Linked DNA regions of Neodiprion lecontei. The main gene of each other region encodes a partner of the protein of the gene in region 2 in a complex. Links are inferred from orthologs where the notes say so. Each region holds a gene or a part of one and is shown on either strand. Other genes may lie near its edges.

Region 1 (5,609 bases), on a different chromosome or scaffold from region 2:
GATTATTAAAAGTAGAAGTTAGAAAATGTTGCGTGTCACCCTTTTGGAATAAATTTTATTTACAATGATTATTAATGGCTTTCAACTTGTATAAATAACTTCCTTCTATATATATTACTATGTAATCATTGCACCAGCTATAAAATTCAGGATATAACTAGTTAGGTAGCTGAATCTTGTGTAATAGATTCAGCTTGACGTGACTTCAATATGTTTGTCAAGAAAAATTCACCAGCTTTATAAGAAGACCTCACTAATGGGCCACTTGCTGTGTACAGAAAGCCCAAATCATTTCCTACACTCTCCCATGCTTTAAATTGCTCTGGTGTTACATATTCGATGACTTTTAAGTGTCGTTTTGTTGGCTGCATGTATTGTCCCAGAGTTAAAGCATCCACTCCAGCTGTTCGCATATCTTGCATGGCTTGTTCAATTTCTTGTTCAGTTTCCCCCAATCCTAACATTATCGATGACTTGGTTATCAAATTTGTATTCTTATTCTTCGCACCTTCTAAAACGCTCAGCGACTGTCTGACAAATGTTGATATCAATTAAAGATGTTACTCAGCAAATGAACAGCATTAATAGTTATTTACTATGCTCATTTCGCTGGAACTCACCTATAGTGTGCACGCCTGTCACGAACAAAAGGTGTTAGACGTTCCACAGTCTCAATATTGTGGGCAAAAACATCAAGTTTCGATTCAACTATTTTTGCTACGCATTCCTGATTACCTCTGAAGTCTGGTACTAAACATTCGACCAACATATCTTTTCTCCTAAGAAAATAAGGTAAATTTGAGAAACAGCATTGAAAACGTAGCAAATGAAATGCATGATACAAAATTTACCGCTTTTTAATTTCTACAACAGTAGCTGCTATGTGATTTGCTCCCCCATCTGGTAAATCTGCAATGGGCAATGAATATCAAGTATGAGTTCTGAAAGTTGCTCTTTTTAAACTAGTTTCTATAACAGTAATGTTACATAAAAAAAAAATATTTCACCATCACGGTCAACTGATGTTAAGACAACGTAGTCTAAACCCCAGTCTGCGATTGCTACTGCCGTGTTGACTGGTTCGTCAGGATTAGGGGGTTGTGGAGTCCGTGCAGTTTTAACTGAACAAAAGCGACATCCGCGAGTACACGTGTCTCCCATGAGCTAAGGATTTATCACACATCGCCAGTTCATTTCACCAAAGAACAAATTATTTTAGATGATACTGATATATATAAAGTTCGAACCATGATAGTGGCTGTTGCAGTTCCATGTTCGCCACCACCCCAGCATTCTCCGATATTGGGACAACGTGCCTCTTCGCATACAGTGCTCAGGTTTAATTGACGAAGTTGAGATTTTAGCTTGCTGTAATTAGCCCCCATAGGTATTTCGGTCTTCAACCATGGTGGTAGTCGGAGTCGGTTTTTTTCCCCTTTTTCCAGTTTCAGCTTTCCTTCATAATTACTCGTAGTATCTGAAACAAAGTCGTGGAGCGTCGGCCCGGTTGCCAATTTGACAGTGAACTCGTTTTTGGTGCTCTCCTTGCATTTCGCACACTGCAAAATTATGGAATTAAGGTTTAGGTACAGACTGCTGGCAGTTAAGTAGGAAACTCAGCACACAGCCGTGGTGCAGTATCAACATCTACTTACGCTTGTGTGGAGATTGAGAGCCCCGGGATTTCCCAAGTATAAAATACGCACTGATCTCAACATTTTGACTGTCAGACTGTCTTCGGGTTGTGTTACATATTTTTGCGAATCGTCTAATCGAGAGTATTGCGATGAAATTATAAATAACCTTGAATGACACTACGCACTTGATTCTATGTATCTATGTGTGCAGCTCTAACCCCTAATACCTATCTGACAGCAATTGAACGGCGATGCTTTCGTAACTGATCGTAATAGTGTCTGCTATTTGAACATTGATAATATAAAATAGGAATACCACCGTAGATTAAAAAGTAGATGACTGAAACATTGCTCGGATATCCGTCGAGTTGTTTAGTAATTTTTCCAGTGTTTCAGGAACACGGAATAATCAAATCTACATGTAGTCGCATGTAATACATACATAATAATACGTACAATTCATACACACATTAATGGATACGTATGGGCATGCATACACGCGAGCTTTATCCTGCATGTTGCAATGAAGTAGTAAAATTTTTTCTTTTAAATTAGTATAAAAGTGTAATTAATTTATTTAAACAATTGAGGTGAAAGTGTTGATCCATTAATCCTCCTCCCTGTATCACACCGTATGAAAGTTTTTACTACGTTAAAACTCACTCTCCTGTTGTGATTGACAATGGTTCGGTCGGTCGTTTAATTGATATAAACGTGCAAATTGTTATACGATGGGGCTTAAGCTAACGGTGGAAGCTGTACTTAGCTCTTGTCAACATCCAGTTGATACTATCAAATCATAAAATGGTACGTTCTCCACAGAAAACCGTGTTCATACGATAAATCGCCGAAGATAACCTCGTCTTATGTTGTCTTTAGCTAACCAAAGCTAGTTTTAATTCTATTCTTTCCATTATTTGATACTGCTAATTTGTACACAATAATCTTAACTGTTGTATGGAATTTTGATACAATAGTGCGTTAACAATGGAAGAAATATGTTACTAAGAATGAGTCTCCGCCTTGTTTTCAATCTTCACATCCAATTCCAGGGTGCAAATATATCGCAGCTAGAAAGAGACATCGGCTCTGATCAGTTCCCTCCCAATGAGCATTACTTTGGATTAGTAAACGTGAGTATATCTCCAATAAGAAGGAATTGCTGAAATTTTTCTACTGGCTAAGTTTATCTATTTTCCACGGGTTGTATTATACTAGCTACTTCACCATGGTTAATTTTTTCTTTCTACTTGTTACAATCCATTTACAATCTATATATGGACTAAAGGATGGACTTTTTGTGTTGGACAGTTTGGTAACACGTGCTACAGCAATTCTGTATTACAAGCTTTGTACTTCTGTCGTCCATTCAGAGAGAAAGTCTTGGAATACAAAGCAAGAAATAAAAGAACCAAAGAAACCTTATTAACATGCTTGGCAGATCTTTTCTACAGTATTGCGACACAGAAGAAAAAAGTTGGCTCCATTGCCCCAAAAAAATTTATCGCTAGACTAAGAAAAGAAAAAGGTAGGTCGTTTTTTTTTTGGCAAGTTTTCATGGATGTGGTCATGAATGTATAGACGGTTGCATGTCTGAATCCAATTTTTTTTCCCTCGTTTCAGAGGAATTCGACAACTATATGCAACAAGATGCTCATGAGTTTCTCAATTTTCTCATTAATCACATTAACGAAATCATACTTGGTGGGTTTAATTCTGTAGAAGTATTGAAGCTACTTGTTCTAATTTAGGAATTGAAACCATAAGCAATATTTACCATTCACTCACAGCTGAAAGAAACCAAAGCAGACCTGCAGGCGGAAAAGGTGGGGCAGGAGATGCAGGATCTCCGCCAGAGCCGACATGGGTTCACGAAATTTTCCAGGGCATTTTGACTTCAGAAACTCGTTGTCTCAATTGTGAAACTGTTTCCAGTAAAGATGAAGACTTTTTTGATCTACAAGTTGATGTAGATCAGAACACTTCTATCACACATTGTCTGAAATGCTTCTCTAATACAGAAACATTATGCAGTGACAACAAATTCAAATGTGATCATTGCAGTAGCTACCAGGAGGCTCAGGTAAAAAAAAAAGTTACGCTGTATGTAAGCTTTAAGAACTTACGTGGAATAATAAACTCATTTTATAATGATACCACTTTTTTCAAACTGTTTTTTTTTACAGAAACGTATGAGGGTGAAGAAGCTGCCAATGATATTAGCGTTGCATTTAAAAAGGTTTAAATACGTAGAACAATACAACAGACACATCAAAGTTTCTCATAGAGTGGTCTTCCCATTAGAGTTGAGACTCTTCAACACTGTAAGTCGATTTATCTTTTACTTAAGACTTCCTTGCAATGCAATTGTTGGTGTCTGATCATCATTTTCAGAGTGATGATGCTGTGAATCCAGATCGATTGTACGACCTGGTAGCAGTTGTTATACATTGTGGTAGCGGTCCTAATAGAGGTCATTACATTTCTATTGTAAAAAGTCATGGATTTTGGCTACTTTTTGATGATGACATGGTTGATGTAAGTTCAAGGAATAATAACAAAACATCTCTTAGAGCCATATTGAGTTGAAGTAAATGAACCTATTGTTTGTCCCAGAAAATAGATGCAGCGACAATAGAAGATTTTTACGGCTTGACGTCAGATATTCAAAAGAGTTCCGAAACTGGCTACATTTTATTCTATCAATCAAGGGACTGTAGCTAGAAGTTGACTTATACTTTAGCAATTTAACATTTTAATACGAGTGATGATGATGATGATCCATGGGACTTTGCGAATGTTTAAATAGCATGCTGACGAATCGGTCGTTTACCTTAATATGCTATCAGATTTTTCAATTATTTTCTTGAACGTGTTCTACGCGCATTGGTATTTAAACAGTCGAAAAGAAGATATACTAGATGCATGCAAGCTATGATCACGTATGTGAAATCGATATGAGTATTCATCTATGGCAGACAAGCAATCAGAAAATGTTAATGTAAAGTTTATTTATTTTAATTACCTATGTTGTACTACGTAGAACTAGTCGAAACTGAAAATATGTAAGAGCTAAATGGAATCTTTTATTTAAAATACTCTTACCTTGGTTCTTATTATGTCAGTGATATTTAAAATTAACATGTTACAGGCACTATTATAGTACATTATTATTATTATTATTATTCGAATGTAAAAATATATGACTGATAATAAAAAATATTGCTATAGGCTTAGATAATTTTATTACACACCTTAACTTTACAAGTTTTGTTTTCATGCCCAAACAAGTCATATTTTCCTTTAGTCGAATACTGAGAATCTCAAAATAGACATTCCCACATATTTTGACAGATTGCCTTGATCAACTTGTCTGCGAAAATTGGGTGCGGATTGAATGAGTTGCAAGAAATCTTCAATGTCATATCAAGATGTTTATTACTTTTTAAGCTATAAATTCATAGGGGATCGGAGCTAGTAAGATAGGTGCTTCACGGCCAGAGACAATGTGGGCAGCAGATGGCTGGGCAGGCTGTCTCTTAAGCTGGACCTGGACGTTCTTGTCCTTTGCTTCTTTCCTCAGCCTTTCATTTTCCTTTACACGCTTGAGGAAATCCTCACGGCACTTGGAATGAGTGACATGTTCGATGCGGAGGTTGATGCGTTTGGCAATGATGCGCCCACGCACCCGCTTGTTGACGATGACTCCAAGAGCATGTGGAGTTACGTTGAACACACGTCCAGTCTTTCCGTGATAAACCTTGTACGGCATACCCTTCTGCACGGCCCCATTACCTTTCACGTCTACGATGTCCCCAACTTTGTACACTTTCATGTATGTCGATAATGGAATGGTTCCATGTTTCCGGAATTTGCGAGAAAATAAGTCCCTCGTACCACGACGATAACCCTTTGAATTGGTCATTTTGACAGTCTAGTCTGCAAGTATATTAACAATTTGTCACTTTTCTG
Region 2 (5,257 bases):
TAAAATTGTCAAATAATGGCGGTAGAAAAAAATAGTTGACCCAGGAATTATGTGCTCTTTAGGTACTGATTGTGTATACTATAAAAAATTAGGTGCTACATTTCATATCATTCGCAATTAAGTTTTACGTAAGCTTGCTGATGCAATGTATCGTCATGTTAAAGGAGCAAGTCACCCGGCTGGTAATTTTTTTGCTTGGGGTAACTTTTTACACAGAAATCTGCAGTGAAAAATATTCTTCAGACAGTTTTGAATTATTTAATTTCTAAATAATAAAGGTATCTCAATATCCATCATCTGATTTCTTTGGAGTATCATTTGAAGCTCAGTTAAAAAGTTGCAAATCTCAAACTCAATTTTTACAACTTTTGAAACGTTTTTTTAGATTAAAGTGCGTTTTAGACCAGTCATCCAAACAGCTTTTAACTAATGATTTGACCAAATGAAAGATCGCATTTTTTTTTTTTTTTTTTTGAGTATTTCCCAAAAAATGTAACATTTGAGAATATCGATGTGCGCCGGGCTGAATGTGACGGCAAATTATAAAAAAAATTCCGCTAGTGCAAATCCAAAGTTTTCCCATCAGTTTAATTGAAATAATTCCGAAATGACGGCTCTGAGCATAAAAATGTACAGCACTTTTCATGTTTGCTATAAAATTTCCTACAAGATGAAATTGTTTCCGAATTTTTAATTTCAAATTTGGAGACGAGAAACCGTTCTTTTAACGGCTTTGAAACAATACTCAATTTCAACAGATGATTTGGAAAATCGAAGATTGGGTGGTTCATTCCATCCCTAATCTAATTCCAAACCTCCCTCCTTGCGCGATTATTAGGTTGTGCAAAATCGGTGCTTAAACAAAAAAAATACCAATTTTCCAATTCAAGGTCCAGCATGAACGGGCACCTCTATATAGGTCCTGATTTCTTGACCTAGAGTAAGACATTCAAATTTTCATAAATCGCCATAAAAATGACTTTTTTCTGACTTTTATTAACTTTTTTGATTTTTTGAAAATTTTAGTTTTAATATTTCAGTTGCCTTTAGGAGTACAGAAATTTGAGGTTCAGATATGGATAGAGCGCGGTATCCTGCTTATTTTGAGAACAATACAAAGATTACACCTCCAAAAAGCTGCCCTCTCCACATGCTCCAAAAATTTTTTTTAAATCATAGATTAAGGAGCTATTTATGCGTTCTACAATGCCGCAAACCGCGATTTTTGAGCTCGTTTCTGTTACGAGAAAATCCATTTTGTAAAGTGGGGGGATCAGCTTACCGAAAAGCTAGCCCCGCCACAGAAAAAAAATTTTTTTTAATCATTTTGATCATGTAAGAATTAGGAACTAATTAGGAACTCCTGAAATACATTGGAAAAAATGTCGTAGAAACAACCCCTATGGATATATCCACGCCCAATCACGATGAGAGGAGAAAACAAAATTCAAAACGATGAGTACTGGCATGTTGTGTGAGTTGCTGTAAAAAAAAAATTCGCTGCGATGAATTTGAAGGGTAGTTTTCTGATGATCGGAAACAAATTGGAACAGGGGGTTATTAGGGGGCAGTATCTCAAAAATCAAATCATTCATGTCCGGTTAGCTCTTAGATCGCTGAACATTTTGCCATAAAAAAGAAATCGCTGCAATGAATTTTAAGGATGGTTTTTTTTTTTTTTGTTTTTTACTAAGGATTGAAAATCAGAAATTGTCACCACTGGTATTTAAAAGCTCTTAAATCAGGCAATCAGCACCTAAAAAGCACCTAATTCCTGAGTCAACCATTTTTATTCTACCGCTATTATTTAACGATTTTTTGAAGTGTAAATACATTTTTTAAGACAATGAATTCGAGTTAAAGAGCACCTAACTCTTGCGCAGTCATTTATAGACTACCATAACAATGGAAAACCATAACCAATATTGGACATTTTCAGACTATGCGCTACTAGCATGACATTGGGTCAGCAGCTCAGAGTGAAGAATCTTTCTTATCGGTAATAGAATTGAGCATCTAATTTTTGAATAGGACACCTAATTAGCACCTAAAGAGCACCTAGTTATGGTATCTGTAAGAATCGATTTTTCCAACATGGTTCTGCTGACATTACAGACGTCAGGTTTCCTGTGTATGCGTGGTTATATTAACATTACAAATTTTAACCTTATGTTCTTTTGAACTTATTTTTGATTCCAGCAAATTCGAAAATAATACTTTCAGTTCATTTTAATTTATTTGAACTTGAAGACCAATGATAAAGATTAAAAACATAATATTCCTAAAAATATTGTGGCAGCCAGATGTTGCATCAATCGCAGAACTATGAGCGAGATTCAAGTGATCATACTTACTGGTTACTGTATTGTTGCTAGCAGTGAGAGCAGTGAGAGTGTTGACATCCCATAGGAATATTGCTCTGTCCAATCCGGCACTGGCCACCTGTTCTCTGTCCTTGGCATAAGCAAGCGCTTTCACATAATCTTTATGCGTACGCAATGTAGACATACAAAAGCCTTTGTGAGCATTCCAAACTTTGACTGTTGTGTCCGAACTAGCTGATATCACTGAGAAAATTGATAAAGCAAAATGAGAGTAAAGAATTTGAAAGCATCAAAGAAGAAAGACAACGTGGCAAGAAGTCACTTTGACTTACAATTCTTTCCACCGCAACACGACACAATGTCGTTCACCCAGTCAGTATGATGTTCCATTGACTGGATGTACGGTTCTTTTATATTTTTGCAGTTCCATATTCGAATTATACTGTCTCTTCCTGCCGAATAGAGTCTGTGCGATACTGGATCATACTGCAGTGAGTTTACGCCAGCTCTATGCTTACGTTCAACTTCGTCTCTAATTACCATAGACACCTTTTACCGTTGCAGAGGAAAGGAAGATTCGATAATGAGCAATGTAACGCAATAACATCATTGCGAGGAGCAATGATGGTGTAGGACAAGAAGTTACATACAAATATATGATAAATGTAACCTGTCATGTTAACATCTCGTATGATGATTTGTTTACGTTTTCACTAAGCTTTGGTTATACGGACTGATCCGTACTCACCTGGACTTTCTTCCGGGCGCTTTGGCCGCCTGTCTTGTGTGCTGCCATTGTCCAGACTTGGCCTAAGCACTTTTTGAAGACATCGAAAACCGTAGAGGTCCGATTTTTAATAAAATAGGAAGAGAAATACCGAATTCAGCTTAGATCGCGTTTCACCACTCACGATCAGCATAAACTACGCAGTGTAAAGGCAAGGAAAAGTATGTCGTATGGATTTTCAACTAAAGAAGTGACCACCGAAAAGCGACGGGGTTCAACAAGTCACCAGAAAGGCGCTCATAAGCAATCAGAAGTGACGTCCTAGCAGTCAATTCTGGACAAATTACGAGATAGACTCAAAATTGAATCGCGAAAATGAATAGGGTTGTCTGATAATAAAAAATTTTATCAGATCATTACTATATTATTAACATTATGTAATTTAAGTAAAAATTAAAACGTAGAAATGGATTTTAGAATTGTATTTGTTGAAAAAAAATGAATAAAACAAAATAGCCGGCGGAAAGGAACGCCCTGTCATTGCGAAGGATGTGGCGTGACGTCATAATTGGATACCTACGTGAGATCAGTGTAAATTTATATGGACTAGACTTATTTTATGCTCTGTACTGTAACATCCGACCGGAACGTCCGTATGTTTTATCGATTATTGTTATTATTATTTATCATTTTTATTAACTAACCAAACTCGACGTACAACAATCTTGTAACCGTAAGGTATTAAAACAACCGTCTAACTATTTGGAATATCCCTAGATAGAAATAACTATGAAATTCACTAATCAAGGCTTAAAAACCATGTTACGAGATGTAGTTCGCACTACAAAGAGCTATAATATTATTATACGTTATTATATATCATTATCATATTAACACTATGATTAACTAACACCATTATATCCAATTATTATAAAACACTCGACAATGCCATTTGCACATTTTGAGCTGATACCTACACTATATGCAACTTACGCTATACCGTATAATCTGGAGAGTAGAAGACTGTGAAACCATAGATAAATGTATAACCGATATTATATAAAGATAGATGCACTGCTGCAATAATCCATAACACCAGAGACTGCAAAACATTCAAAACCGTGAATGCCAAATATCCGTCATGAATTATACTTTCCACCGTAACGCCGTATTGTAGGTAACGTGTGCAGCGTTTTGAAGGTAATGCTGATCTCCAATGTGGAGCCATATAGAGCCTCATCTGGAGAACATATTACGAAGCTTAACGACGAAACGATTGTAGATGAATCAACTAATGGGATTATCTTGTAAAGCGAAACAACCAAACAAAATTACAATTAACGTATCAATACAATAACAATCAACCCTTTTAGGTAAACAAGGCTTGTACCAGTTTTGAGGTAAAACGTAAGAAAACATATCCCTAGCTCCTTACAGGTATTGTACGACACCAAGGAATTAACTCAAAGATGTATACGTGGCAACGCCTAGTAACAGACAACCAACAAACATAAGAACAATGCTCTAATACTTTTCAAGCCGATCTATATCAATATAAGAATTAACAATTACAGAAGAGGATTATACAAAAGCACATATGTAAACCAGCTCCAAAACTACGAATTATCAAATTGTTAAATACCCTAAATCTCTTAAGATTGTTATAACACGAACACCTAAGAATATTCGCAGCAGCGCAATCCTAGTATTAGATTTAATATTAAATAAATAGCAACTATGTCCCACTATTGTACTCCAGGTGAATAATGATAGTAATTAATTATAACACATATGCAATTCTACATATTTACACACTATAAAACTTACAAAATAAAAAATAACCGATATGGTAATCTTAATTTATAGACCTCGTAACCAACAGGATAGTAAGAATATTTAAGAAGTAAACTACGTCTAGAACTCAGCGCATCGTGACCCCGAGAGTGCACACGGCACTAACGTCCGCGACATATGACACCACGAAACAAAGGTCACCGCTAGCGCACGTGCACTGTGATTACCATATTATGGAATAGCAGCTAAAATCGGCCCAGGTCCTAACACCTACAAAAAGAGGAGAGGAAGCACGGTAGCTAAGGAGATTGCTGCCCCAACTCCAAAGCTGACGCGGATAGGAAGCTGACGGCGCAACGACCCTACGCCCACACCACCGCACCAACACAGCGTTATACCATATATAAAAAAG

Evidence for each region.
Region 1: WD repeat-containing protein 48 (region 2) and ubiquitin carboxyl-terminal hydrolase 46 share a complex: the UniProt entries of both Drosophila melanogaster proteins name them as parts of the usp12-46 deubiquitylase complex. The link is inferred for Neodiprion lecontei from reciprocal best matches to the Drosophila melanogaster genes CG9062 and Usp12-46.

The regions. Positions count from the first base shown.
Region 1 is NC_060265.1:2,717,541-2,723,149, reverse strand, and holds ubiquitin carboxyl-terminal hydrolase 46, read left to right. Parts: upstream 1-2,121; 5' UTR 2,122-2,441; coding exon 2,442-2,444; intron 2,445-2,614; coding exon 2,615-2,770; intron 2,771-2,948; coding exon 2,949-3,165; intron 3,166-3,260; coding exon 3,261-3,341; intron 3,342-3,427; coding exon 3,428-3,720; intron 3,721-3,823; coding exon 3,824-3,961; intron 3,962-4,031; coding exon 4,032-4,175; intron 4,176-4,253; coding exon 4,254-4,361; 3' UTR 4,362-5,005; downstream 5,006-5,609. Other genes in the region: lipoyl synthase, mitochondrial, read right to left, coding at 162-531, 621-779, 852-909, 1,008-1,164, 1,248-1,559, 1,656-1,718; 60S ribosomal protein L21, read right to left, coding at 5,083-5,562. UniProt on the Drosophila melanogaster protein: Catalytic component of the Usp12-46 deubiquitylase complex.
Region 2 is NC_060264.1:15,795,996-15,801,252, forward strand, and holds the start of WD repeat-containing protein 48, read right to left. Parts: upstream 3,261-5,257; 5' UTR 3,121-3,260; coding exon 3,073-3,120; intron 2,874-3,072; coding exon 2,657-2,873; intron 2,568-2,656; coding exon 2,355-2,567; intron 1-2,354. UniProt on the Drosophila melanogaster protein: Regulatory component of the Usp12-46 deubiquitylase complex. activates deubiquitination by increasing the catalytic turnover without increasing the affinity of deubiquitinating enzymes for the substrate.